Linked DNA regions of Cricetulus griseus. The protein of the gene in region 3 interacts with the protein of the main gene of each other region in a pairwise test. Links are inferred from orthologs where the notes say so. Each region holds a gene or a part of one and is shown on either strand. Other genes may lie near its edges.

The links.
Region 1: the proteins of Trim54 (region 3) and Arhgef5 interact in binary tests that used the Homo sapiens proteins (3 or more experiments, as listed by UniProt). The two-hybrid records come from large-scale screens. The link is inferred for Cricetulus griseus from reciprocal best matches to the Homo sapiens genes TRIM54 and ARHGEF5.
Region 2: the proteins of Trim54 (region 3) and Inpp5j interact in binary tests that used the Homo sapiens proteins (3 or more experiments, as listed by UniProt). The two-hybrid records come from large-scale screens. The link is inferred for Cricetulus griseus from reciprocal best matches to the Homo sapiens genes TRIM54 and INPP5J.

What each region holds. Positions count from the first base shown.
Region 1 is NW_023276806.1:226,136,957-226,146,797, forward strand, and holds part of Arhgef5 (rho guanine nucleotide exchange factor 5), read right to left. Parts: intron 9,376-9,841; coding exon 9,311-9,375; intron 9,106-9,310; coding exon 8,852-9,105; intron 6,144-8,851; coding exon 5,983-6,143; intron 5,447-5,982; coding exon 5,294-5,446; intron 5,037-5,293; coding exon 4,907-5,036; intron 4,652-4,906; coding exon 4,577-4,651; intron 4,175-4,576; coding exon 4,085-4,174; intron 3,116-4,084; coding exon 2,958-3,115; intron 2,378-2,957; coding exon 2,216-2,377; intron 886-2,215; coding exon 815-885; intron 1-814. UniProt on the Homo sapiens protein: Guanine nucleotide exchange factor which activates Rho GTPases. Strongly activates RHOA. Also strongly activates RHOB, weakly activates RHOC and RHOG and shows no effect on RHOD, RHOV, RHOQ or RAC1.
Region 2 is NW_023276807.1:101,394,955-101,404,795, reverse strand, and holds part of Inpp5j (phosphatidylinositol 4,5-bisphosphate 5-phosphatase A), read right to left. Parts: intron 8,695-9,841; coding exon 7,568-8,694; intron 7,298-7,567; coding exon 7,184-7,297; intron 7,061-7,183; coding exon 6,952-7,060; intron 6,771-6,951; coding exon 6,654-6,770; intron 6,374-6,653; coding exon 6,198-6,373; intron 5,818-6,197; coding exon 5,706-5,817; intron 5,553-5,705; coding exon 5,443-5,552; intron 5,323-5,442; coding exon 5,139-5,322; intron 1,054-5,138; coding exon 916-1,053; intron 772-915; coding exon 694-771; intron 597-693; exon of another isoform or gene 569-596; coding exon 464-568; intron 289-463; coding exon 1-288. UniProt on the Homo sapiens protein: Inositol 5-phosphatase, which converts inositol 1,4,5-trisphosphate to inositol 1,4-bisphosphate.
Region 3 is NC_048600.1:13,248,194-13,258,034, reverse strand, and holds part of Trim54 (tripartite motif-containing protein 54), read left to right. Parts: intron 1-3,100; exon of another isoform or gene 3,101-3,146; coding exon of another isoform or gene 3,147-3,464; exon of another isoform or gene 3,465-3,475; intron 3,476-4,603; coding exon 4,604-4,776; intron 4,777-5,776; coding exon 5,777-5,948; intron 5,949-8,449; coding exon 8,450-8,545; intron 8,546-9,841. Other genes in the region: 60S ribosomal protein L36a-like, read right to left, coding at 3,147-3,464. UniProt on the Homo sapiens protein: May bind and stabilize microtubules during myotubes formation.

The DNA.
Region 1 (9,841 bases), on a different chromosome or scaffold from region 3:
ATCAAAATGATTCATGAGGAAATTCTAGATGTTTGCTTATGAGCCAGGCAGCATTCCCACAGACTATAATTAAGTTCAAGGGAACACAGTTCACAGTCCGCATGTCCTAGAAGCAATCTCAGATGGGTTTGTCTTTATACTTTGCTGTACTGATTTTGCAGAAAATAAATGGAATGCTACATTATTAATAGTGCACCATTCTTCTAAAGCCCAGCATCATCTTGCAGCCATAGAAAATGCTATCCTCTTTACCTACCATAAATGAAGCTAACCAGTGGACTTTACAGCAAGAAAACAGCATTGAGTTCAGTTGGGTTCTCCTAGATCCTATTCCAAGGTTCATTATACTCATTTGTTCTTTTTACCCACAAAAGACCCAGTCTTCCTTTGACATGCTCTGGGCTCTGGCTACCCTGTGCTCAAGACAAACAGCCTTAGATGTCTGGCTGTAGCCAGACCAAAGCTGTGTTGTTTTTTCTTGTCATCTGCCTTGTAGCTACACTATTTCCATCTTACATCTTCAGTTGGTAAAAGTAAGTAAAAAATGGTAGCAGATAAGATTTAAAGGAATATATATTCTACAAAAAACAAATATATTCTACAAAGAACAAACAGTGAATGCATGAGGAAAGGTACTGCCATGGGGAATGCCAGTTTTTAAGAAGATGTATCACAGGAATTTAAGCTTCAGCCACCAGCAATCCACCATGACATTCTGAGGAAAAGCAATACATAGAAGCCCCCAGCACACTCAACCCTTCATCCAAAGGAGACCACAGATGGACACTGCCATTTCTGTTGCGTCTTTACGTACCATAGCATTCAAGCAAGTCCAGCTCCTCTCTGGGCATGGCCAAGGCTGAGATCCACCGAAGCTTTTCACTTCTGAAGAAAAAAAAAAAAATACAAGACAATCAATCATAGCTTCAGTTACAAACTGGGGACATAGGCTGAGGGCCAGTGGTGGGGAAGGCAAGTGGCTACCAGAAGGACTTGTCTACTTCAATGACTCCTAAAGCCAATGGGATCCTGCCCGGTTGGAAACCCAGTGTGATGCTGTGTTATGTGTTAGTGTAGCCTGTTTTTCCTCCCTTTCTCTCCTCAGGCATAGCTTTCACAGAATCACAAGGTGTGAACTGTCCATCACATGCATGAACATAAAGGTGTGAACTGTCCATCACATGCATTAACATTTTCCAGTCTGGAAATCTGTTTAGACTTGACCACTCTGCATGATCCTTGGTCCTCACTCACCTCCCTTCAATTAAATATCTAGGATGGAAATCACTATTTCATAATAAGTAAGCCAAGGAGCTATATCCATTTCATTGCTGTTTTTGTTGTAATATGTGATATTAGCCTAATTTGTGATCATCTGAAGGTTTTTATATTATCTTATCCTCTGTACCTAAGTTACTGAGAATGACACTTTTCCATAAAGATGCTGCCCAAAGCTCTAAAAAAGAACACAAAAGCTACATCTGATTATTTGTCTCAGGTGAAATCCTGAGTACAAACCCAAGTACTATCTTCTGTGAGAATGAAGACAGGGACCATTGATCTCAGTAGAAATGTCTTGCAAGGGACCATGCTCCCCATCATGCGGAGTCTTAAACCATGAAAGTGTTTAACAGTTTTACAGACAAGTTTTTCCTGTGTCTCATATAGCACCAGGAAAGTTACTGGGTGTTCTTTAATTTCTTATATTGTGTGCCACATTCTACAGTTATCATTTTAACTCTCAAAACAAGATATAGATGCGATTGTATTCATTTGCTATTATCACTGGAAAGGTTACAACTCATATGTCTTAATACTACAGATTTCTGCTCAACGGAGGATAAAGCTAGGTGACTGAGGAAAAGCAGAAAGCATACATGGTGTTTTTTATTCACACAAGTGCCTGACAGCCTGGGCTCTGAGCTGCACAGATGAGCTGTATCTCACAGACACAGCAACCGAATTCCCTGCTCATTCCACGCCAGCTCATCTCCCTCCTGATGTCTCACAGGCCTTGCAATTGTTGAGCACAGACTGGAAAGCAGATGTTAGGACAGTCCATCCTACACTGAATCTCCTTCGAGTTGCTGCTTAGCTGTAGGGCCCTGGGTTTCTCTATCAATGATCCCCATTCCAGAAGTGCCAAGGCCATGGTCCGGCTGTGTTTCTGTCCAGGGACACCCACCCCCAGCTCCTGTGCCCAGCCCCATCTCACTGAGTCTCAGTGCGGAAGAGGAATTCAGCTTGGGTGCCCTGTGTGTTGTGCAGCAGGAACAGACGGAAGAGGTTCTTGTGAGGCCCGTGCAGCTTCATTTCACACTTCTCCCCTCGAATGGAGGAGAATGGAGCATGGTCAAACACCAGGAACCGGCTGCCCCTGCAAGATATGTCTTTTAAGTCTGATTCTATAGCTTTTGTACTTCATCCACCCTCACACTCATAGTCTTGGATTCAAACTTCCTGATCTTAGCTGTTACAGACTCTTCATATAAAACCCATACGAGGGCTCAACTTGCTCTCAATGCAATAATCTCAGTGTCTCAGCCAACCCTTTACCGCCATAGTGCTATTCACTACTTTAAAGAGTTGAAGTGATAAGAACCAATGTTAACTTTCTAAGATCCTAATGACCAGAGTTTAAGCTCTGAAACTAGACAAGTGGCTGTATTGGCTAATATGTTGGGCATGACCCAGGGAAGCCACAGATAAACTTATTTAAGAAGATGGTGTTTCTTTGCGGTGGTTTACTCATGTCTATAACATGGGACAGGTCCGGTTCTATGATTTCATGATGTAATTTGGTAACATTAACTCCCCACTTCTGTTCTCTAAGCTATGACTCATGACTCACACTGTGAACTGTCTGAGAAGGGATCTGTTAGAAGCCCGTCATCTGGTGTCCCTCCAGCCCTATCCCATTCTATCGTATCCCCTGGCCTCCCATCCCAGCCACTGACTCTCGGGGTCGGGACAGCAACAGACAGTCATTGAAGAGATGCAGGTGGACTGGACGAGTGGTCAGTTTCCTCCTCAGCCCTGGGGAGGCACTGAACTCAAGGGCCACCAGCTCCCCACTCTTCACCAGCCATCGAGATTGGGAAATGAGCGGGAAAATCTAAGATCAGGAAGAGAGAAAAGGCAGGTCATGAGCTTCCTCTCAGTCCTGCCCAACCTGTGGATCACCAATTCCAGATCTTCCCTCTTCCTCGGAACCAACCCATCCAGATCCTGTGTCTCTCGGAACCCTCTAACTACACGGCACTAGTGTGTGGCTCCTGTGTTCCCATGCTCAAAGGAAGGTGACTCTGATCTAAAAAGTGATGGTCTGGGAGCAGAAGTCTGTGAGCCCAAGTAGAACACATTAATAAGCAGGAGGGCACAACATGACATCTTAAAAGTCAAAGGATAGGGATAGGGATGTTTCCCTAATGATGGTCAGAGCCAAGACGGACAGGCAGAATCAGGCATGAAGCTGAGGATAAGATCAAGGTGGGATCTGCTGGGACCTGGGACCTGGGCAAAAAGCTTCAGCAGAACTTAGAGAAGGACTTCCCTTCTCTTCTGGGGAAGTAAAGGTGGTATCTGCAACACACTAGGAGTTCAATGTTGAAGATCAATTTTCTATTTGTTTGGACAAGAGATTTTGAGGTTTTTGGCATGTTGTTTCTGGTTAGGTTAAAGGTGATCTGATAAAATAAGTGAGTCAACCATTCTTCATCTCTAAATTCTTATATAGCCTTATTCTGGGAAATTCCTTCTGCCATTTAGTGAGTGCTCCTCCGGGAACAATTGCCCCTCCCCCCTTTCTGATTATCCTGACAGTTTCCTTATGCACATACATCAACAGATTTACATCCTCTACTCTTACACCAAAGGCAATAAAATCCACACACAGTGCTACGCCTTCCACCTAATAACGTGTGTTGTAAAGTAAAAGGATCATTTGCATATTCCAGAAATGGAGACAAGGGCAGACAGAACCAGGAGGCTAGAGGTGATGGAAGCAAGATGACTCTGTCAGAAGATGGCCTCCAGGACAAGCTAAAGAGATCATAGGCAGGGAGGTGTTTGAAGGACAGCTCACTTTGCACTCAAACTCAATCTTCTGGCTCAGGTAGATGAGCTCCTCTGTCCGCCGCATCCTCTGCACATTGTTGTTACAGTCTCGGATCAGCTGACAAAGGAGCAGGGGAAAGGAAGGGTAAGATCACTGGGTTAGTGTCTCGAGTTTTCAGTCCCCCTAAAGCTGTCTGGGAAGATGCCTGCAGACCTCTGTCTTTTCTACCAGGTTGGGGTTGAATGAAATAGCATCCAAGTCATGTTTTAGGTTGCTGGAATACTTTACAAGATTTCAGAGAATACATTGGGATGAGGGACTGTGGTGTTGGGAACATAGTGGCTGGACATGGAATGTGAAAAAAATAAGTTTAGTGCATACAACAAGATGGCTGAGCTCTCCTGCTAATCAGGACCCATGTCTCAGACCTTTTTCAGTCATGGTACCCGGAGAAGGGGCGGGGGGAAAACTTACCCCTGAATGAGTACAAATAGGCTATTGGATGTGATGGCTGCCTACCTTCTCCAGGGCATGGTGTGCCTTTGTGGCCTCTGCCTCTTCTGAGGAGCCAGGCTGCGTTCTCTTCAGAATGTTCTGTAGAACAAATAGTGGGCAAGAGCCGGATGGGAGGAAGGATGGACAAACAGGAAGAGATAAGTCAGGGATATTTGATGCAGAAGTCAGACACCCAGTTCCAAAAGCAAAGGTTTCTGAGAAAGAAAGGTGAGGGCAGTTGGGAAACCTCTGACATCCTCCACACGAGGTGGAAACTTCATAGAAGAACGGATGATCTTTTGCCTACAAGCAATCCAAGATCATGTCTTTGAGTCAAGGAAACTGGTGCCCTACCTGGAGCAGCAACTTAAGACGGGTGATACGCTGGAAGGGCAGTATCAGGAAGGACTTGAGAGACAGGCGCTGGCAGATGGGGTCGCTCTCCAGCTTCTCCAAGACCTCTCGGAAACTGCTGTTACTGTTCCTATGTGAGAAGCAAGACTCAGGTGAGGAGGGAGGTGGGGGTAAAGGGGCTCAGTGAAGGCATGGGGAATGGGATTTAGTGGAGGATCTGGGTTGGGAAGAACATTAAGAGCCCATGTGTAGGGTCCAGATATGACTGCAGAGAGGACCTGATAAGGAGAGTGGCCGAGACGCCAGCTGACACAGTGGACAAAAGAACAAGTCCAGTGCAAGGTCACAGCAATGTCCACGAAGGGTAGGGATAGGGGTCATTCTCACATTAGGCTTTGGAAGGTGCGCTCCTGATAGGTCTGGTTGGTGACATAAGGCAGGTAGACTCGGCGGAATTCTGGGGCATGATTCAAAACAACATCACAGACTTGGAAGGAGAAGACGTTGTTCTCGAAGTTTTCTTCTAGGTCGGAAAGGAACCTGCACAGTATTTAAACAGTCTCATGAGGAACGGGGGCCTCAGCTAAGCACACTTCAGCCCTGCACATTGTGAGAGCAGCTCCAGTTTCCATGAATCACCAGCTTCTCCTGACTTTCCTCAGCTCCGCCCTTGCTAGGCAGCACATCCTTCCCAAGGCTGGCACTAGCTTATTCCTGATCAACTTAAATAGAATTCTAATAGCCTATTCCTTTTCCTTCTCTTCTGGTTTGCCAATCTTTCAGTGATCTTTTTTTTTTTTTTCTTTTTTTTTTAATACCTTGTGTCCACTGCAGGGCACGCCCAGAATGTATGCCAAAACCTCAATCCAGGAAGCATTTCTCCTCACTCATCTGTTAATAGAACCGTGAACCCTCACACTATCTCCTCTTCTTAGTTTTTCCTACCCCTCTTCCTTGGAGACTCTTCCTTTCCAGACTCTGACAAAGACAAGGTTTCTAAGAGGGAGAAAAGAAGCTGAAGATTCAATGGCTACAAAAAGTGAGGCTGAGAGAATGGAGATTGGAAGAAGTCTCACGTGGTGCTGACATCGCGCACGTCCTGTAGACGAGAGAAGAGCCACTGGTGATCCTGGGTGGACAGGGTGGCCCGGAGTTGGGCTGAATGTTGGAAATGATCCACAGCTATGTTTAGACTGCGAAGGTAAGATGCCTCTGACACAATCAGCTCAAATTTGGCCTAGAGGATTGGACAAGAGGAAGATTAATGAATACTTTTATGAACTTTCTGGTAGATACCAGTTGTTGAACAATGTTTTAGGGTGGAGCATTGAATAAGGTACATCTTTTCATCACTCACAGTCACAAAATTTAGCTTAGTCTATCAGGGATATGTAGAGTATTTGAGGACGTAAGATTCAACCTAGGAACTGAACAATATGTGTGATTCTCTATACTTTCAAGAAACTTATTTATTTGTAGCCCATTCCCTAGGGAGGGAATACTATTGCAGCCCAGATACAGCAAGAAGGGCCTAGGTCTTCCCCCAAATGATATGACAGACTTTGACGGTCCCCCGTGGAGGGCCTCACTATCCCTGGGGAGGGGGGGGGAATAGGGGAGGCCATGGGAGCATGGGAGAGCAATGGAATGGGGGGATGGATATGTAAATATGAGTGCCTCTAAAATAAATATATATAAATATTTATTTGTACACATACACAAATAACTATAATTTCACAGATATGTTAATTTACCACATCACAGTAACAATTTTACCAACAAAATATACTGTGCTATACCTCATGACAAGGTAGTTAATACTTTACATAAGCACAGTGAAATTTATTTTTAGAAAAGAAACAAGTAAGTTGAGCATTTCTGGAATTTTTATTAAACAAACAAACGAACAAAACAAGAAAAAGAAAAAAGAAAGAAAGCCAGGGAAACCAGTAGGAGTGAGAATGAGGCATGAGGCATGGTGGTTACATAAACAACAGAGCACAACATGAGCTTACAGAGGTGTGGAAGGAAAAATGTTCCAAGTATAGGAATTAGCTGGGGAGGTTTTTTGTTTTTTGTTATTATTGTTGTTTTTTTAATGGGAGTGTCTTTTAGGAAACTGTGGAAAAGGACTAGAAGAAGTAGGAGCAATGTAGGGAAATGGCAACATGTCTAGATGCGAGCTGAAGGCCTGCTGGTCTAAGTATGGGAAGAAGTAGACTGAGCTAAGCGCCAGGCAGGCAGACCTGGAAGACTGCCTATTTGCTAGAAGTGGGGCATATAGGAGGAGCCAAAGCCAACACCTTGCTTTCCGGTTGGGTAGTGGGTGGGATGATGGAATTGCTGATGAAGCCATAGTGCTCTGAAGTAGGAAATGACTTAGGGAGGAAGGTGACAAGCTCAATTTGAGGTCTGAGGAGAAATGGAATTGGAAAAACAAGGATATGCGAAAAATGTTTTCATTTAAACCGGAAACCAAGCACTTAAGAATGTGTATGGAGGCTCCAGCAGGGGACAAAATGACTCAGACACAACCAAAGGAAGATTCCTGTCACGTCTCAGCAAGGAGCTTCAGTATATATACATCCCTTGCTGATCACTGAGATAGCCAACCACACAGGAATTTCCTATACAACCCCAGACTGTGACACCAACATTTACTCTCCATATAATGTTCTAAGACCATATGGCTTAAGTGGGCTCAGTTGAACTTCTGAAGCTTGGGGTTTGTGTTGTTTTGTCCTTTTATATAGATATGGCGACCAACCCCTACACATACACACTCCAGAAAACACAATTGTTAAAAGGAATGGAGTCCGTGAAGGAACATTGCAGACTCCCAAGACGTTACCTCATGGCATGAACATGTGTGTATAAGATAATGAGATAGGTCTCTCATCTCACAAAGTCAGGAGGGATGGGCTGGAATCCGGACCCTTGCAACTTCCTAGCTTACTGGAGACTTACGGAGGGGTAGCTAGAGTTCATTTGGTCTTCCCATTATTTGATGGGAAGAAATATATACAGGACAGGTTAGTGATTTTCTCAACACGTGTTTTATACAGCTTGTCTGAGGTTATCCGGCTAGTACATGAAGCCGGGTCTGCATCATCAAAATCCAAATAGTCATATTTTCTGACTGATTATTCTGTAGTAACCATTTATCTTTTTTTTTTTTTTTTTTTCTCCTGGTAACTCCTTGCGTCTGTTTTAACAAAGGGAAACAATGGCTTAGAGAAAGCACATGATTTGGCCAAAGTCAAGCAACACATATTAACGAAGGCTTCATGTCTAGATCATTGGTTGTGGAGCCTATCCCACTGTGTCCTCCTTTTTTCCTGGGAAGAAAGGTTCCTCCTCCTGTTTCAGACAGATCTGAAAGCAGAAACTGCTTATGGAAAACTTACTAATGGTGGCAGCTTAGAACCAGATAAGCATTGTCCCCTGAAGTCTTGATACTGGGAGTGATGACCAAGCAGGGTCATATTAAAGCCTTAGAGGGTCATATTAAAGCCTTAGAGAAATCAAAGAACCAAGGGACAACTTCCGGTTGTCCTCTTCAAAGCAGCCAGCACAAAGACTGAGTGTGTGGCTTGTCTGAAATCCTTGTACAAGTGGAACGGAGATAATAGCTCATCACGAAGCAGCAGTGATGACCTTGCTGTCACATCCCTCCCAACAGATTCAGGGGTATGGTCACTCTGTATGAGCCCAAGCCAGTACAGATAGGAGCAGATGGCATATGCACGGATGTGGGAAGCGGCGAACGTGCCCGGATTGTGAGAGCAGTTCACATTCCTCAGCATGGCGGTGAGCAGTCTCTGAATACAGGTGAGTGTGGGCTGGGGACAGTCTGCTCTTGGTGGCAGAGGTGAGGAGGAGATAAAACATTAGCATATATGATTTTGTTCTCCCTCCTGTCCCCTACCCTGCCCTGGGTGGTACCTCTTGCAGTTTTTGATCTTCATGGGTCATGGAGAGCAGCACAGTGCTGTTGCGAACCACAGGGATTTCCTGCCAGAGAGAGCCACTGGAGGCCATGGACAGACGCTGCAGATAGGAGTCTGAGGGCACCACTGCCTTTCGCCGATGCCGGGGGGAAGAGAGTCCAGGTGCCTCGGCCAGGCTGTCTAGTCGCTGCTGGCTCTGGATCTCTTTATTCAGAACAACATCACTGTACTCCTGATAAAGTAGCTGGGCTACGGGTGAGGATTCATGGGAGGAGAAAATCCTGAGAAAATGAAGTGAGTGGAGGCCCACAGCAGAAACTGCCATCTACAGCTGACCTCTGGCAACCCTTTCATCTGGACACCACCACTTTATTGCTGGCCGTCAAGAGTACCTGTCCCTCCCACTTTAGGGGGAAGCACACCCGAGCCTAGAGATCTGTTCCAAGGTACTCACAGGAGTTGATGAGCTTGGAGCAACGCCTTGAAAAGCCTCCCATCCCTTCCTTTGGTTTCTTCTCCCTGTGGAGTAGGCAGGTTTTGGGGTGCTTGATGACCAAGAGACAGAAGACCCCCAAGTGACTTTAGATGAAGAAATCTCTAACCTTCCAGACTCTCGATAGGATGTCAGGACCCAAGGAACAGTGGCTTCAACCTGTCCCCATCATGTATCTTTCCATTCAACCTTTCTCCCTTATCTCAAAGTCTAGAGAAGATCCCGAGGACTTTGGGGGAACTTATAAATTCAGTGAGACATGTCCAACAATAACCCCAGATGTTATATGGAAGGAGACTGGTTTCTAGCCATATGCCTGAGGAAGACAGCTGACCCATACATAGTAGGCAGAACTGGGCAGGTCCAGACATCTCCCTTCCCAACAGTCCTGGTGCCTTTCTTTTCCTCTCCTTACTTTCTGAAGATAGAGGCACCAGAAATTCTGGGTCCCAGTATTATTATGCACTGAAGTCCTACTAAGGAAATTTTTGT
Region 2 (9,841 bases), on a different chromosome or scaffold from region 3:
TCGGCTGCCACTATTGTGACTTCTGTCAGGGGCTACCCGAGGCAGCTGGCGACTTTGGGGTGAGGGACTACGGCTGCCACCGCGGCGTTCACGGGATGAAGGACGGAGAGCAAGACTGGGGAAGCGGGCTAGGCCGGGGCTGCGGCTACGGTGTCTCTTGGACTTGCCAGGGCTGGGGCTTCGGGACTTGGGTGCAAGCAGCTCCAGAGTGCTGTCATCCTCACCCTCCGAGCTGGTGCCTGAGCTGTCTGTGCTGCTGCTGGCCGATTCTGAGGTAGGCAGCGAGATCTGGAGAGAATACTGGCCATTGGGACAATCCCATTCTCTAGCCTGCCCACTTTCTCCCTTCCTGTTGGCGGACCCAGAGAGGTTGGGCTACTGGTCTGAGGTCACAGACACAGAAGATTTGACACGTGACTGGGACTTCATGACGTGCTTTGGCCTTAGGGTCTGATCTATTTACCTGAAAGGGTTCAGTTACACCAATGAGGATGCTGTGGTGGTGGCTATAATAACCCAGGATGAAGTCTCCGTGGCCCTTGGGTAGTGATTCCTCACTGAAGGTGACCTGGTGGGCACAGGGGTAGAGGCCCAAGCTGGGGCCAAGGTGTAGCCTCAGGACCCCCACCCCCAAGCAGAATCCTGGTGTCCCCAAGGCAATGGGGCCTTCAACCCGCCACTCCTTGTAAGTACCTGGTAGATATTACCATCTACTTCTTCATGTTTGGCCCAGACATAAGCCACGTAGTCCTTGCAGTGCCGGAAACCCACCTAGGGAAAGAGGAACCAAGGGTTGGGACATCTAATGCCAGAAGCGTCTCAGCAGAACAGCAAACGGGGGATAAGCCAGTGATTCTCCAGGGGGGCTGCAGGCCCCCTCCTTCCGTGAGAGCCCCAGACTCTTGCCCTTCTCACCCGGTATAAGCCGATCCAGTCCCAGGAGCTCCGAGCAAACACGGTTTCCACGCGATACCGCACCACAGCCTGCTCCGGCCGTGCCCACTCATCTGCTACCTCCAGCCGTACCAAAGGCACATCATCCCTAAAGGCAAACTGTCCAAAGCAAGGCAGGAACAGAGGACAATGTCAGAGGATGCCCTTTAACACCTCACATTCCTAGGGCTCTTGGGTAGTGAGCTATGTTTGTAATGACAGTATTACTGGGGGCTGAGGCAGGAGGATTTATAATTTGAAGACAGCCTGGACAGCACAAGTGGTGAACCAGAATGGGCTATATAGTGAAACTGTTGCAAAAACCTGGTAAAAACCAAACCAAACCCAAACAAACAAAAATCCCTGCCTCCATTCTGGGACCCTTTTTATCCTCAGCTTTCTTAGGAAGTGAGTGGAACATAGTCTTGAAGACAGCCAGTCTTAGATTTGGCCTTGACTCAGTCATGGTTGGTTATACAAAGGTTACTTCCTCAGCTTTTCTGAATAGCAGGCCCTTGTCTGTGAATCCAGAGACTTTTGTCCAGTTTTTTTGTTTGTTTTTTGTTTGTTTGTTTGTTTCAAGACAGGGTTTCTCTGTGTAGCTCTGTAGACCAGGCTGGCCTCGAACTCACAGAGATCCGCCTGCTTCTGTCTCCTGATTGCTGGAATTAAAGGTGTATGCCACCACTGCCTGGCTCACTTTTGTTTAGTTTTAATTTTTAAAAAGTTTTGTTTTATGACTATGAGTGTTTTCTACATGTGTGTGTCTGTGCACTATGTGTGTGCCTGGTGCCTGGGCCTGGAGTTACAGATGGTTGTGAGCTGCCATGTGGGTGCTGGGAATTGAACCTGGTTCCTCTGGCAGAGCAATTGGTGAATTCTTTCAATCACTGAGCCATCTCTCCAGTGATGAATGCTTTTGCTTTATACCCGGGGCTGTACTACTGATTCCCTGAAATGCAATTTGTAACATATTCCTCAAACTGCCTAAATGATAGTAAAGTTCTGTGGTGTATGAGATTCTGGGATAAGCCCGGTTTCCTGGAGCCAGCACAAGCCCAGAAGTGGGTGGCTGGAGACCTCAGTTCATTTTCTAGCTCTGTCACTAAATTGGTGTGTGACCACAGACAAGACCCTGGCCATCCCCTAACTCAGTTCCTCCCATCTGAATGTTACCATTAAGGGCCATGGAGACAGATCATCATCATGAGTGTTTTCCCCTAAGACCAGCCAGGACAGCCAGAGAGCCACCTGATAGGTGGAGTTTCTGCAGTGGCAAGCAGCCAGAGTCCTGGCCACCTGTGTCCCTAAGAAAGAGCTCAGGTGGTGCCAACCTCAGGCCTTTGTCTGGTCCCTGTTGATCTGGTTTCAGGTTTCCTTCCCTCAACTTCTGAGCCTAGCTGTTCCAGATGAAACCAGTACATTCTTTCCCTGTCCCAGGCTCCTAACAGAAGGAGAGGTTGAAATGTACTCCAAGGCTTTGCAAGGTCACAATCCCTGCAGAGGCCCAGTGGTCCAGGCCCATAACCTTAGTATGAGGTGGATGCTGGAGGACCAGATTCTAGGATCATACTTGGTTGGAGGCCAGACCAGGCTACAAGAGACTGTTCTAAAAAAGACAAGAAAAATAAAACAATAATAAAACAAATCCCCAAACAACCAAAAAACAAGTCCTGTGAGGTGGCTCAGTGCATAAAGACACTTTATCCTCAGGATGACCCGAGTTTAATCTCTGGAATCCACATTTGGAAAGAGAGAACCAACTCCCAAAAGTTGTCCTCTGACCTCTTCCAGGGAGTGCACACCTGTGCACATAAATAAATGTAATTTTAAAAAAATCAAAGCAAGAGGCTGGAGAGACCTGTGCACATAAATAAATGTAATTAAAAAAAATCAAACAACAGGCTGGAGAGATAGATGTCTCAGTGGTTGAGAGCACTGTCTGCTCTTCCAGAGGACCCAAGTTCAAGCCCCAGCACCCACGTGGTGTCTCACCTTCTAGTTTCAGGTGATCTGACGCCTCCACAGGTACCAGCTACACAGAAATATATACAGCCAAACAGCCACATGCATAAAATAAATACTATCCTCAGTTTCTCCCAACAGTGAACTGGAGAGGAGACTTTGGACGTTTCAGGGCTTAAGGCATTCAAGGGATGATGCGTGGAAAGTATATAACAGGGGGGCCTGAAACTCTCTGTGTAATTCAGAGCAGCTTTGAACTTTATTGTTGTTTGACCAAGGGTCTCACTATGTGAACCAGGCTGGCCTTGAACTCTTGGTCATCTGCTTCACTATTCTGAATCCTGGAATTATAGGTGTAGGCCACCAGTCCCAGCTTATGTTAACTTTTTAAAAAGTTTTTTTTTTCTTTTAATTGTTTTCACAATGCTGGGATCGAACCGGGTACCTTCCCCATTCTAGGGAAATGTCCTACCACTGAGTTGGATCTCAAGCCCCAGGTAATAATGTTTTTTCCCTATCCACCACAGCCAGGACAGGGTAGTGAGGCAAAAGTGCTGAGATCCCTGATTAGGAGCTGGGGTGTGGTGGCACATGCCTATAACCCTAACACTTGGGAATCAGAGGTAGGAGGGTCATGAGCTTAAAGGAGCCTAGTACAAAGCAAGAAGCAATCTAAAAACGACAATAGCAAAATCTCCCACCCTGTCCCTGTCCCAGAGTTTGCAGGAGGCCAGGCTTGGGCTGATCTCCATCCCCAGAAGAGGCATTGGCTTAAGGCCCACGACTGATCATGTGACAAAGTTACTAGGGGAAACGTTCTTTGGCCTCCAGAGCTCCTTCTTTTCAGACCAAGAAACCCAGAAAACACAGCTTAGGTTTCGAGGTTGGAAACATGGGATCTACCCAGTACTGCCTCTGCCGCCAAAACTTTATGTGACTGGAGGCACACGGCCATCTTGGTAGGAGACTGAGGTTACCTCAAAGTAAATCACAGACTACATCGTCTTCCAAACAGCTTTTAAGACTCTAGAACTGCCCTCTTACTTTGACAACTAGGAACCTCAGCTCTAAACACAATAAAGTCATCCCTGAGGATCTGAGTGTGTTTGGTTCCCCGGTACACACTAAAAAAAGTGGAACAGTATATAGTATGTGCATGCAACATGTATATCCCTCTATATACTTAAAATTCTTTCTAGACTATTTATGATCCTTACATTATATATGTATATACATATATATTATGCAAATGCCATGAAGGTAGTTGTTTACACTACATGGTTTAAGGAAAATGACAAGAAAAGTCTATATGTGTTTAATATAAGCATGTTTTAAAAACAATATTTTAAAATTATTTTTACAACTTTGTTGGTATATGTGTGTGGGAGGGTTGTGCATGTGTGTGGGCGCCCACACAAGCTAAAGGCAACAGATCTCCTGGATCTGGAGTTATATGATTGTGAGCTGCCCCATTCCGGTGCTGGAAACTGAACCTGGGTCCTCTGCAAGAACAGTAAATTCCCTTAACTCCTGAGCCATCTCTCCAGCCCCCTTCCTGACACATTTTTCTCCAAATATTTTTATCTGTAGATCTTTTATAAGGAGACTGTGGCACTGAGTTGGGTCCTGAGATGGAATCCAGGGCCTTGGACATGCTAGGCAGCCAGTCTGCCAACTGGTATGTCCACAACCTGGCTTTGTCTTTTTTTCCCTCTCTCTCCTTTCTCATCACTGCCCATTTCATAATGCCTGCCATATGATAAGGTGATGATTATTCACCAAATTAACCATGAATGAATGTCACCTGGGCTTTGAGTAGAAATTTTAACTTTGCTGGTCTTATTATATATGTGAATTTTTTTTTTTTTTGAGACAAGTTCTGATATACCACAGACTGGCCTCAAACTCACTATGTATCTGAGGCTGGTCCTGAACTCTGGATTCTCCTGCTTCCACATTCAAATTTTAATTTGTTGCCCTAAACATTTCTTGGAAGAAGGAAGTCAGTTATAGATAAGTGGAAAGATATGAGCTCTGCAATCAAACTGTCTTGGGTTCAAATACTTCCTTTTCCTCTTACTACTGTGTGGCCCTGGGCAAAGGAGGCCACGTCTCAGCCACGGTCTCCTTGCTTGAAAAACTGGATGCTGTTAAGGACAGGTGGAAATGGTTGCAGATAGATAGAGGACGTTCAGCCTGACCAAGGGACATCATAAGGGGAGGATGCAACCAGGACTCACATGCAGAACAAACTGGGCAGCAACGGGCTTGTGGTCACTGACAGTGTATTCCATGTGGCTGCGGTAGCTGTGTTGGGTCACCTGGAGCCTGTGACTCTCCCGTCCTGAGGGGCTGGGACCTCCACCTGGAGCCTTGACCTTCCACAGAATACGGTCTGTCCAGGCTGGCTTCCGCTTCTTGGCACTGAGTAGGAGAGTTTCAGCGTCTGAGTTGGGGATGGTGTCAAAGCACAGCCCCAGGCTTATCTCCCGTCCTTATTCTCACGGGCTCCTTTCCCTCATCCCGCCCCATCTCACCACTTACCTGGTGTCGTACTTGTTGGTACCCACATCAAACTTGAAGGTGGGAGCAAAGTTAAGGGGCCCTTCCTGGAAACCTTTCAAGATGGGCCAAGTGTTCTTGGCCATATTGAGCTGTGGGGGTCCAGAAAGGCAGAACAACAAACAGCTTGGGCCTTGAAGCATCCAGAGATAGGATGGGACAGATGAGGGTGAGGGCAGAAACCCGAGGTGCTCGTTGAGTTCCGGGTTGAGGGAGGCGAGAGAGAGGGAATCTATGATTCTTACCTGGTCCTTTTCCCAGAGCTGATGGAGCTGGTTACTGTCTATGGCAAACTTGACAAAGTGTAGGTCATAGCTCTCAATTCGGAAGTTCAGGTCCCCAAACCAGAATACAAGGCTGCTCCGGGGTGGGGATAGGGGTCAGTGGGCCCATGGGGTGCAAAGGCTCAATCTAGATCCTTCCTGGCACCTATCCAACCCCATAACACTCATGCCGTTAGAGGTGCCAGTGGGTGGGAGCTACCAGAGCCTTCAGTCAGCCAAGGAATGGAGGAAAATGGGGATGGAGGAGTAAGAGGGTCTAGAGAAATTAGGTCAGGACCCTCAGCAAGACAGTGCCCCTCAGCAAAACTCCATCTTCCAGGACCCACCCTGCCCCACCAAACTCCTATCTGCCTCCATTTTTCTGCAGGAGGTATGAGTGGATCCCTCACACCAGTCAATAGGCCCACCTTTCCCCACCCACCCAGCCCGCACGCACTCTGCAAACCCACTTACTCATGATCCAGGATGCCGTGTGCACCTGGTCCCTGGAACTGCTGGAGGCTAAGGATAGTTTGAAAGTTATCCTTGCGCTGCTCCGCTTTGTCCATGTGTGCCGGCAAGTGGCAGTTTAGGAAGCATAGCATGTGTCCAAAGGCAGCTAGGCGCACACTTACTCCGCCCTTATTACCCTAGGAGTGAGGTTTGACAGGTCATGGATCTGACCTGGGCCAGGAGGAGAGTCCCTGGGTTGGGCTGGGCATAAGAGCAGGTAAGGAGCAGAGGAGGCTTAAGTTTAAGCAGGGATGGGTTCTAAGGAAAGAAACAGCATGCTGGGACAGGGAAGGGCCAGAGAAGGGGTGCAGTCTAAAGGAGTGGGCATAGTGATGGGTGTTTCTTGGGTTGGTGGAATCTCAGGGTGAAGGATACAAGTGTGAGGCAGGGCACACTCAAACCCTTTCCCTCGCTCACCCAGTAGCCACCCAGACCAGTCCTTGTACAATCTGTCTGCACATCCCGCAGGAAGGGCAAGTGGTAGTACTTGGCGAACAATAGCAGGATGACACCCTGCATCCTCACAGTGCTCACCTGCAGGGGAGACCTGTTGGGGGACACTCCACATACAGCTCTCCCCCAGCCTCTGCCTCCTGCCCACCTCCCCATCTCCCTAATTCAAAGGCCCAGCCATAGAGACCCAGCAGTCCCCTCAGAAATGAGAGCAGGAATCCAAAAGTGTCCCTGCTTCCCAAGAGGGTGTCAGTGTTATTACCAGCACGAAGTTGAAGGGCCCCAGCGCATCCATGAAGAGCTCGCTCCACTGGTCGGTGAAGAGGGCATCCTTGAGTCTCTTGTTAATCATGGAATTGACTTCTTGCAACCTGGGAGGTGAGGGGGACAGGAACAACCATCCAACTGGAGGGCTATTTTAGAAATTCCTTCTAAGGGTGAATTTCCAGGGGGCCAAAATGCTAGGGGTGGGACCCACTCACACGACTCCTCACCCTATGGCAATCATATCTGCACCATCACTGTCATGGCCACTGCCCAGGTGAAGAAGAGATGTGACATCATCGGGGGGCATGGCAGTCCCCACATTCCATGTAACCACAGTGATCCTGGAGGAAGGGGCATAGGGGAGTTTACTGCTAGGCACCATTTCCCCACCCGCCCCTTCTTCCTCACGGGACTCTCTCTGGGGAGTTAAACCGAGGCAGGTAAAGATATAAGGGCCCTTAGAAGAGACGCAAAGTGGGCCCAGCAGTGCCCCCTCTCCCCAGGATAAATTCTTAGGAAGTAAACTGAATAAAAATGCATCACCATCCGGAAAGAATGGCCAGTCTCTGCTTTCAAGCCCCAGTAACTTTGCATGAGAGAAAGCCCCTCACCGGAATCCGGGGTCACTCTTGCAGGTAGGCTGAGCTGACCAAGAGGAAGATGGTGAGGTGGTGGTGGAGGCTGGGCTTTCTTGTGCCTGTAGGTTAGGGCTTGGGCACCTGCCAGGCCCCACACCCTGGATGCCAGGTCTTGGGAGTGCTGTGTCAGGGGCTGGGGGCACACAGGGAGAGCGATTGGGAGAACGACTGGGGGAGCGGCTGGGAGACCGAGGTGGCTTGGGCAGAGGCGGTGGCACAGTCTGGTTCGAGGAGGTTCCTGGCCGAAAGGTAGGGGACAGAAGTCCAGGGGAGCGGGTGCCAGGCTCTGGAAGGCCTGGGCTCACATCCAAGGGCAGGGTCTGTGGTGGCGGCGGCAGGACAGAATCCTCCGGGCTGTGGCGTGGAGCCTCTGGTCGGGCACGGAAGGAGGGGGAAAGACGGGGGTCTGAGGAAGCTTGGGCCCTTGGTGGAGAAGTGGCCAGAACAGCTGCCTGAGCTGGAGTCTGGAGACACCCCTCTGCGGGGGGAATGGGCCTGGGTATCACAGCATCCTTCTGTCTAGCTGGAGCGGATGTCACAGATACTGGAGCCAGGGTCTGCTCCCGAGAGGGTGACAGAGCAGGACTGGGCACGGGGGAAGGACTGGAGGGGGATTGCAGAGGCTGCTCCTGAGAAGCCAGGGCTAGGCTCAGGCCCGAGGCTGCCAATGCTGGCTTAGGTTCTACAGAGGTGGGTGACAACTGCTTCTGGTCCCTGGAAGTTGGAGATAGGATGGGCCCCAGGGTAGCTTGAGGTGGCCTTGGCATAGCAGAGGCAGATATTACTAGCTGCCCAAGAGACTTTGGAGCCAGGATTGAGACTGAGGTGGCTGATGGAGGCTTTGGTCCTGCAGAGGCAGATACCACCAGCTGGCCCACAGATGCTGAAGCCAGGTTGGAGCTGCGGTGGACTGGAGGTCTTTTCTGTTCTCCAGGGGTGGAGAGTGAAGCTGGGATGGGCCGGGGAGATGCTAAAGCTGGCCTTGGTCCCTCTGAGGGAGGTGACACAGCTGCTCGTGGTCCCACAGGTGCCAGAGCCAACCTTGGTTCCGTGGGTACTGGACCTGTGTTCTTTGCTGGAAGCTGAAAACTTGAGATCACCTTGTAGAGGACAAATCAATGACGCAGAGTGACTTTTACCAAGGGCTTGAGTCTCCACTTCCATATAGACCCCAGTAGACCCACACAGCTAAGAAGGACGTATCATTCCAAGGAAATTCTTCCTGTTATCTCACTCCAACCCATTCTGCTCTAGGTCAGTTTCTCTCTCAGAAGAGATGGGATTCAAAAGCCATTTTTCCATATTAAACTTTAAAAGCCTTTTCATAGATGGACAGACAGACCCTGAATGGACTGAGAAGAGCATGAACCTGAATCTGAGGGCTCGCCTGGTTTTCTCAGATGGCACCTACTCTACCCTGACCAGCTTCCAGGGCAATTCTTGCTGTAGCCCCTGCAGCACCCGTTACTGAGTGCCGCTGACTCAACACCCCAAGTCTGTCCCGGTGGGTATGGGGATACAGGGTCCACCTTGCTGAATGCCCTTTCCTTTCTCCACAGTGCAAGTAGCCCTTAGGTGCTCCTCACACACCACCTACCACCTCTGACCCTTTGGTCACAGCCTGCCTGTGCTGATCCATTCCCAGCTCACCACACAGGGTCATGAGCTGGCAGCTGAGACTGCCATATACATTCTCATCCCAGCTCTGTGTGATTTTAGGTAAATGTTCCTCAGCCCACAGCCTGTTTCCCATCTGTAAAACAAGGGGACAGTGGCAAGGGTCCCTGACCACACCACTTTGCCTAGGGCAAGTGACCTGTACTTTTAGCCTAGCATTTCCTGGAACTTCCTGAGTGCTGGAGAGTGAGTCCACCCTCTGGTCAGTGAGTGTGATCAGCTGCCACGCCTCTCTGTGCCCAGGCTGTGCTCTCATGCCCTGCCTACCCTCTCCCTACCTGTGAGGACAGGCAAATGGGTGCCCTTTATACCTGACAGGTGGAAGGACAATAGCTCCCCCACCTTGTCCATCCTGTTTACGATGTTCCCAGGCTCCAGAGGCCAGGAGAACTCGTCCTTTGCCAGGGAGGACAGAAGAAGGTCTACATTTGCCTCAGGGTGGCCCCATCCTGCTCTGGAGACGCAGTTCAGTCCCAGACTCTGTCCCCGTCCTTCTCGGTTCAGAGAACCTGAAATTCTTCCTCCACTTCCTTCCCTGAACTCCGCTCTTTGAGGCTGCATTCTGGATAC
Region 3 (9,841 bases):
ACACGCCTTTAGTCCCAGCACTTGGGAGGCAGAGGCAAGCAGATCTCTGTGAGTTTGAGGCCAGCCTGGTCCATAGAGTGAGTTCTAGGACAGACAGGGCTACATAGTGAGACACTGTCAAATAATAAACAAAAAAAAATTAAAAACAAAATAAGATATCTTAGTGGAAACATCAGGTAAGCTATGAAATCACTGTCACAGGCTTCAGATGTCATCACATGACATTTTTAATTTAGGGAGGTAGTAGATGCCAGTGATATGTCATATATTAGAGGGGATTTGCCTAGAAGCCACAGGGATGAATTAGGCCAAACAAGGGGTGAGCAATGAATGCCTATGAAGAGAACTAAAACCATCCCAAGATAATTTGGCTGCAGACCTGCAACACTGTGACATCCCAGCTCTCAACAGCCATGGAAGTTCACAGCCAGTTAATCGGTCTTATAGAACCTTTATATATAATAGGTGTGGCTCCCGCCACCCCAAGTTCAGTTCACACCTGTGATCACACCTTTTAAAATAATTTATCTAACTTTCTTTTATGGGCATTGGTGTGAAGGTGTCATATCCACTGGAACTGGAATCACAGGCAGTTGTGAGCTGCCATGTGGGTGCTGGGAACTGAACCCAGGTCCTCTGGAAGAACAGCCAGCATTCCCAACCACCGAGTCATCTCTCCAGCCCCTGATGAAACTTTTAAACTTTCCCTAAACTTAGCAGTGTTCAGAAAATCCTAAAAGGGAGCCTAAGGACAGATTACAAGCCCAGCCTTGGGAAATCTCAAACCCATCAAGAAATTCTAAGAAAAACTGTCTTTATGGCAATGTTATCTACACCCCACAAACCAAACTGTTGATCTTGGTAGGGCCATGTCTCCTGCCTGGCCACTAGAGAAAAGAATGAGTCTAGGACTTGAGTAGTATGAGTGTGATGGAATATTGCCTTACCCCCTAACAGTCCTTCCAATCTCATCTTCCAGTTGGTACACAAAGAGATTCCTGTAGGAAATACTCACAAATATTCAAAGTTAATGGTGACTACTATTTCCATTGTTTTCTATGAGTTCATGAGTCTCTAGCTCAGTAGTTCTCAGCCTTCCTAATGCTGGGATCCTTTACAGTTCCTCATGTTGTGGTGACCCCACCCCAACCACAAAATTATTTTCATTGCTACTTCATCACTACTTTTTTCTACTGTTATTAATTGTAATGTAAATATCTGTGTTTTCCAATGGTCTTAGGTGGCCCCATGAAAGGGCTGTTCAATCCCAAGGGGGTAATGACCCAGAGGTTGAGAACCACTGCTCTAGCTGAGCGGGTTGGGGTTTTACTGTAAATGGAAGAAAACACTAAACAAGTGGCTTTAAGTGCTGGGCTATGTAGCTCAGTGATAGATACTTAATATTTGAAAAGCCCTGGGTTAGGCCATTCCCACATCTCAAGTGAGCAATAACTTAAAGTAGACACTTGCTTTTCTCCAAAGGGCAAGCTTGAAGGGCTGCCCAGGATTGTCTCCTGAGACAATTGCTTCTTGACCTCCTTGCCATTCTCAATGTGTGTCTACTCCACCCTGGCCCAGCATGGTTTTTCAGGTCAAGTCTACACTCCACATAGGAGAGAAGGGGACATGGGAAAGAGAGGGCATTTTTCCTCCCACTAGAGACACTTCTAACACTGCACAACACCTTTACATCTGTAGTTCCAGAACACAGTCATTGGCCACACCCAGCCAGAAGGGGGCTCGGCGGCGTGGCCTTCATATCACAGGTCTTGCCAACTCAGACAAAGTTTCTGAAGAAAGGAACACCGGGGCATCCCTGCCAGTCATTCACCTACTGTTATTAATTGTAATGTAAATATCTGTGTTTTCCAATGGTCTTAGGTGGCCCCATGAAAGTGCTTGTTCAATCCCAAGGGGGTAATGACCCAGAGGTTGAGAACCACTGCTCTAGCTGAGCGAGTTGAGACAGAATGTCTTATTTATTTATTTTACATTTATTTACTTATATGGGTGAACGAATGTCACAGAGTGGGTGTGGGGGACAGAGGACAACTTGTGGAGTAGGTGGTCTCTCCTTCTACAAAGTGGGTCCCAGAGTCAAACTCGGAGCATCAGGTTTGGTGGCAATGCTTTTATCCATTGAGTCATCTTGCCTGTCCCAATAAATGATTCTTTTCACCTCTCTGTAGACCAGCCTTCGGTGTTAATAAATTCTGTTTCATAGTTTCCAGGATGGCCGCAAGATGAGTTCTCAGCCTTTAATCCCAGCACTCTGGAGGCAGAGGCAGGCTGATCTCTGTGGGTTCGAGGCCAGCCTGGTCTACAGAGCGAGCTCCAGGATAAGCTGCAAAGCTACACAGATAAACCCTGTCTCGAAAAACAAAACAAAACAAAAGATGAATTGTTAGCCCAATTCCATGAGCCTTTTTCAGTAGTGGACTTGGCTTCTGGATCTTAAGCCAAATTCAGGGAGAGAGAGCTTGATTGGTTGCACCAGGTCTGGTGACACCACCTCAGTCAGCACTATGCTAGGACGCCCCTTTAGGGTGGACTGGAGCAGATCTCTAAGATACATGGTGTAGGGGCCTCTGCTAAGCCTGCATTACAACTTCCCTCTAACTGCCCTTTGCACTGTGTAGGCTGTCTGTCCTTAGGGAAGGGGTAATGGGGTGGAGGTGGGGCCTTGCTCCTGTCTTTAACCCATAGCCTTGGCATAACATCAGATGCAAAATGAGCAATCCAATGTAGCCCATAACTTTACTAAGGTTGGAAAAAAAAAAACTTTACTGAGGTTGGAAAAAAAAAAAGAACAACCTTTACTGAGGTTGAATGCTGGATAGATTTCAGAAGAAAGTTCTGTCAAGGGCTGTACAAGGGACTATGTGCCTTGACTCTAGTGCCAGAATCGATTTCCCAGAATTATCCAGATAATTGTCGTTTCTTTTGTTTTGTTTTTGAGACAGGGTCTCTCAGCATGGCTATCCTCACCATGCAGATCCACTGCCTCTGCCTCCTGGGTGCTGGGATAAAAGGCATGTGCCATGTGTGTCCAGCCTTTCTTTTCTTTCTTTTCTTTTTCTTTTTTTTTTTTTTTTTGAGATGAGTTTCTTTTATTGTGATTTTATTGTCTCCATACCAAGAGCAGCTTAGAACTGGATCACCTGGCCCTTTCTCTTCTTATCGCCTCCCAGTTCAAAATGCTTGCATCTCTTAATAGCCAGCATCCTCTTAGATCTGCAGTTGGGCTCAACACACTCAAGCCTCAGCACAATCTTTGTAGTTTTAGCCTTTTTTCGGAAAATAGGCTTAGTCTGCCTACCATAGCCACTCTGTTTCCTGTCATAACACCGCTTTCCCTGGGCATACAAAGAATCCTTGCCCTTCTTGTACTGTGTCATTTTATGGGGCTGGTGCTTGCCACATTTCTTGCAGAACGTCCGGCGGATCTTAGGAACGTTCACCATGTTGGCGGGCAGCCTTTCTTTTCTTTACATTTTTTCTAGACAGGGCCTCATGCATCCCAAGCTGGCCTCAAACTCCCTATGTAGCTGAGGATAGCTCAGACTTCCAGTGGACCACATCCTCCGGCCTCTACTTCCCAAATGTACTCATAATTCCTGTTTATGTGGTGCTGGGACTCTACCAACTGAGCGAGCCACCCAGCCCTGGTTACAATTTCTGTCTCACTGTTCAGCACTTGGTGTGTGTGCCTCTGCCCAGGACTAGAGAGAAGCTCTCTCCTGGCCCAGCATATCATCCCAACATTTGGGAGGCAGAGGCAGTAGTTAACGTCCGAGGCCAGTTTTGTACTTGCAGAGTGTTTGAACCAGTCTGGACTACACAAGACCACGTAGAGAGAGGGGGATGGGAAGAGAGAGAGACAGAGAGAAAAACATAGATAGAGATGGGGAGATGGAAATAGGGGAGGCACACTTACAATCCCAGCATTTGGAAAGCCGAGGTTATCCTCCGTTACACACGGAGTTGAGACAAGCTTACATGATCTTGCCAAACACACATGCGCACATGTATGTATGCACACACAACAACCCCCCGCCACACACACACAAAATGCCTTACATGTGGCCCATAAGAGTTCAAGCTGGGGCTGGGCAGTGGTGGTGCACACCTTTAATCCCAGCACTCGGGAGGCAGAGGCAGGAGGATCCCTGTGAGTTCAAGACCAGCCTGGTCTACAAGAGCTAGTTCCAGGACAGCCTCCAAAGCCACAGAGAAACCCTGTCTCAAAAAAAAAAAAAAAAAAAAAACAAAAACAAAAGAGTTAAAGCTGGAGGACACCGTCTATACTGCCAGTCCCTTGCCTGTGTCAGCGTTCCTGCCAAAGCTCTATTCTGGACCCCATTAGGGCCAATACTGATCAGGCCTTGCCCAAAATGAGGCTCTGCATGCAGGAACACTCAAGGAGCTGGGCTCAGGGATGAGGCAGAGACTGAGGTGAAGACAAAGGCATTTGTCAGACTGCTGTTTGGGGACACCGGATGCAGAGGAGAGCGAATGTCCCCTCCTTACCACTCCTGTGCTCATCACTTGTCTTCCCTCACGCCTCACTACACTTCTGTTTTTGCCTCACCTGTCCTTGCAGGCATCTAACCCTCTGTGGCAATCCCGGGGCTCCACAACTGTATCTTCAGGAGGTCGTTTCCGCTGCCCATCTTGCAGGCATGAGGTTGTCCTGGACCGGCATGGGGTCTACGGCCTTCAGCGGAACCTGCTAGTGGAGAATATTATTGACATCTACAAGCAGGAATCCTCCCGGTAAGCTGCCTGGGCTGCTGACCTCTCTGGAGGGAAGAGCCTGCACCATCAGGGATAGAGGGGTTGTCTTAGTCAGGGTCACCATTGCTGTGATGAAACACCATGACCAAAAACAACGTGGGGAGGAAAGGGTTTATTAGGCTTAGGCTTCCACATCACAGTCCATCACTGAAGGAAGTGAGGATCAGAAACTCAAACAGGGCAGGAACCTGGAGGCAGGGGCAGACGCAGAAGGCATGGAGGGTGCTATTTACTGGCTTGTTCCTCATGGATTGCTCAACCTGCTTTCTTATAGAACCCATGATCATAAGCCCAGGGGTGGCCCCACCCACAATGGGCTGGCCCCTCCCCCATCAATCACTAAGAAAATGCCCTACAAACTTGCCTACAGCCCCATTTTATGGAAACATTTTTGTTTTTGTTTTTGTTTTTGTTTTTCGAGGCAGGATTTCTCTGTGGCTTTTGGAGGCTGTCCTGGAACTAGCTCTTGTAGACCAGGCTGGTTTCAAACTCACAGAGATCCTCCTGCCTCTGCCTCCCAAGTGCTGGGATTAAAGGCGTGTGCCACCAACGCCCGGCTGGAAACATTTTCTTAATTGGGGCTCCCTCCTCGAAAATAACTTTAGCTTGCATCAAGTTGACATAAAACTATCCAGCTCTTGGGTGGGGACACATATATCCACAATAGGGAAAGAATCGGACCCAGAGAGGAGGGAATTGGTCTCCTATCCAGGAAGCCTCACTTTGCCTCTGGAGCCAGTGTTAAATCTTACTCCCCCTGGTCTATGACCAAAGTCAACCCCAATGTGCTTAACCTCACCTGCTCCCATGATTCCCTGTCCTGTGGGACATCTTTGCCCCCCTGCAATGGACTCTTCTTGGGCCCAGTCTTCCTTGGAGCATCTTTGCCTCCCCAAAGTAAGAACCCAGTGTGAGTTTCTCACCACTGGTCACAGCCTGACTCCCTGGAAATTGCTGCTCCCTTGTCCATGGTCCTCAGGCCACTGCACTCCAAGGCTGAACAGCACCTCATGTGTGAGGAGCACGAAGATGAGAAGATTAACATCTATTGCCTGAGCTGTGAGGTGCCCACCTGCTCTCTCTGCAAGGTCTTCGGTGCCCACAAGGACTGTGAGGTGGCCCCTCTGCCCACCATTTACAAACGCCAAAAGGTATCTAGCCAGGGAGGGATTGGGGAAGGGGGTTTAGGCTGGGACAGTTCCCATTCTGCTTAGGTAAGGTGTAGCAGATCAGGGCCAGAGCACCAGGACTATTCTTGACTTGACACACAACCTTGAGGATGTCTCTGCCCCTGACATCCTTCGTCAGACCAGGTGAAGATGATGGTTGCTGTCACCATATCATTAGATAATGCATGGCAGCAGTGGCTTCCATACCGAGCACTGGACACCCTCAAGGGTCTTTAGTCATGCAGTTAGCTTCTACATATGCTGTCATTTTTAAGATCAGATTGGTTGGGACATGAGAAGAAAGGGGGGTCCTAGGAAGGGTGGGGAGGACAGGGTCAGAGAGCCACTGCAAGCAGAATAGGTTTTGTTTCTCAGATGAGCAGTGCTGGCTAGAGGGAGGTGGCTATATTACAAACCCTGTAAAAGGTATGTTGGTAAGGGTGCGTTCTAAGATTCCCAAAACCTCAGCTCATGTTGGAATCCCAGAATATTAAAGCAGTCAATTGTATCACCAGACTTGTGACAGAAACAAATGCAAATTCTAAGCTGGAGGAAAAGCCCTTCATTGTAGACCCTTAGCATGACCTTAGATTAATATCAATGCAACAGTCATTCACAACTGAAGATACACGGAGAATGCACTCTGTAGCCAGGCAGTGGTGGCGCACGCACGCCTTGGGCTCTGAGAGCTGCTGGTAGCAATGGCTTTACCAGAGGCCACAAGAATATACAGCAGATGGCAATTGACAGTTGAGGTGTTGAGCCATCAGAGGAATAACTCTCTGTTGGAGAAAACCTCATCAAGTAAGACTTCACAGGTCCCCAGACTATGAAAACTGGTTGCTGCTATCTGTAATTTTTCTCATGTGCCACCACATTCCTTCCCTAAAAACAGCTACAGGTATTTCCCCACTGCCTGTGTGTTTACCTCATACATACATACATACATACATACATACATACATTCCATCTACTGGCACACATACAGCTGGGGATGGTCAGGAAGATGATTTCTGTTTAGCTGTAAAATTTTTATGAGTAAAAATAATACTAAAATATTTTTCATAGCTCAGACTGACATAAAGAAATTACATTATTCTCAGTTACAAAGACAGCTTTTTACCCCATTAGCTGTTTTTAGACCTTAAAACAAATTCAAAATAGACTAGTTACCCCTGCAAAATATGCACAAGGGCAACTTGGAGTTCCAAGCCAGCCTGGACTATATAGGGAGACCCGTTGTTAAAGAAAAATGAAGATGAAATAAAACAACAAGTAGGATTGGAGATGTAGTACATTTGCCTTGCACAAGATCCAGGGTAGATTTCCAGAACTAAAAACATATGTAAAATGACCATGCAACAGTCTGTTGAGGTGGTGTACACTGTAATCCCGGCTGGAGCAAGAGGATCATAAGTCCAAAGTGCCAGATTAGAAAATAGAGAAAGGTCCAATCAAAAACAAAACAAAACAAAAACTCCAAAACAAACAAACAAACAAAAAACAGACAGAAAAATAGATTTGACAAGGAACCAAGTAGAGCTTTTAGGAATTAATAACTGTTGAAAAACCAGTGGATGGATCAAGTGATGGATTTCTCACAAGAAAGAATTACTCAACACAGAAGAGTGCAAACAACAAACAAACATTCAAACATATAAACAAACAAACCCAGAATGCACTGGGGAGTGGGAGGTTGAGGATGAGAAAGAAGGTCTAACATAAGTCCTATTGACTCACAGAATGAAAAGGACAGAAGGGAGGCAGGGTTGTTGGAATGGGCAGCCCTAGGAATTTTTCAGAATTAGTGGAGGACATAACTACTGTTAAAGCACAAGGCCGGAGACTGGTGCACAGTGGGTAACTAGAGACTGGTGCACAGTGGGTGATTAGAGACTGGTGCACAGTGGGTGATTAGAGACTGGTGCACAGTGGTGACTAGAGACTGGTGCACAGTGGTGACTAGAGACTGGTGCACAGTGGTGACTAGAGACTGGTGCACAGTGGTGATTAGAGACTGGTGCACAGTGGTGACTAGAGACTGGTGCACAGTGGTGGCTAGAGACTGGTGTACAGTGGTGACTAGAGACTGGTGCACAGTGGGTGACTAGAGACTGGTGCACAGTGTTGACTAGAGACTGGTGCACAGTGTTGACTAGAGACTGGTGCACAGTGGGTGACTAGAGACTGGTGCACAGTGGGTGACTAGAGACTGGTGCACAGTGGTGGCTAGAGACTGGTGCACAGTGGTGGCTAGAGACTGGTGCACAGTGGTGATTAGAGACTGTCACTTCCCTTCACATTTGGGAGTGGGGGCACCTAGAATCCACAGGATGTGTTCCCATGTTTCTTGAACTATTCCAAGCCTTCTAGACCTTTGTAGATGCCCCTGAATAGGTGAGGTGGAGACAGTCCGTGGGATTGAGGGAAGCTGCTGCAGGCTGGGGCTTCCAGCTCTAACAACTAGCCCATGTGTGTGACAGAGCGAGCTGAGTGATGGCATCGCGATGCTGGTTGCAGGCAATGACCGTGTGCAAGCAGTGATCACGCAGATGGAGGAGGTGTGCCAGACCATTGAGGTGAGCCTGGGCCGGGAGGACAAAGGGACAGAATAGTCAACAGTCTGTCTGGGATCCTCATATTCAAAGAGAACTGTTTCTCTTTGACCTCTGGTCAAACTGGCCAGAAAGTTTCTGGACACTAGCTCATGGTGAATTGTTTTTAGCCAGGTTGATCCTAGCACTCTGCAATGTTGGTCAAGTTGCTTAAATCTTCTATGCTTTGGCTTTGTTTGTTTTTTGACTATATATAAGATAGAGATGACCAGTGGGGTGGAGGTAGAATAATAGCAAGTTCCAGGCCAGCCTAGGCAAGTTATGGAGATACTATCTCTAAATAAACCAATTAAATAAATAAGCAAGCAGGCCGGGTATTGGTGCACATGCCTTTAATCCCAGAACTTGGGAGGCAGAGGCAGGTGGATCTCTGTGAGCTCGAGGCCAGGATAGGCTCCAAAGCTACACAGAGAAACCCTGTCTCGAAAGACAGACAAACAAAAAAACCACAACAACAAAAAAGCAAGCAGGGCATGTTAATTCAAGACAATGCCAGCACTTGGAAGCTAAAACAGGAGGATTTCCCATTTAAAGTCCAGTTGACCCATCTCAAAAATAAATGAGTAAGGATGAAGAGATGGTCCAGGAGTTAAGAGAAGGTATTACTATTGCAGAGGACCAGAGTTCAGTTCCCAGCACTCACACTGCATGGCTCAAAACTGCCTGTAACTCCATCGCCAGGGGAGTTCAATTCCTCCGCCCTCCTCAGGCACCCACACAATGAAATCGTGGGAATAAATAAACAAGCAAAATAAAAAATTAAAAGATAAAAGAGGCTGGGAGGTGAGAGTAATCAGACATTATATATGCATGAAATAATTAATGAATACATTTAATTAAAAATTATGTGATAAGAACTAATTATATACCCTTATAATATAGTTAACTAAATATATTTGAATATTGATACGTATTTCCAGTTAATAAATTTCAGAAATTTAGATTTACTGTTTTATTTTCAATTATGTGTATTTGTGTGTGTCTGTGTATGGGTTGTGCACATGAGTGCTAGCCCCCATGGAGGCCAGAGGAGCTTGTTGGATTCCTTGGGTTACAAGAAGTTGTGAACCCTCTGGCATGGATATAGGAACAGAATTCAGGACCTCTGCAAGAGCAGGACACACTAACAGGGGAGTCATCTCTCCAGCTGTCTAACCAATGTCTACATTTTGAAATAAGGCTTAATTTCATATCAGAGCAGAAAATTAATTATATAAAACTCAAATAATGTTTAAAAATGATGCTGACAGTGACATGGTA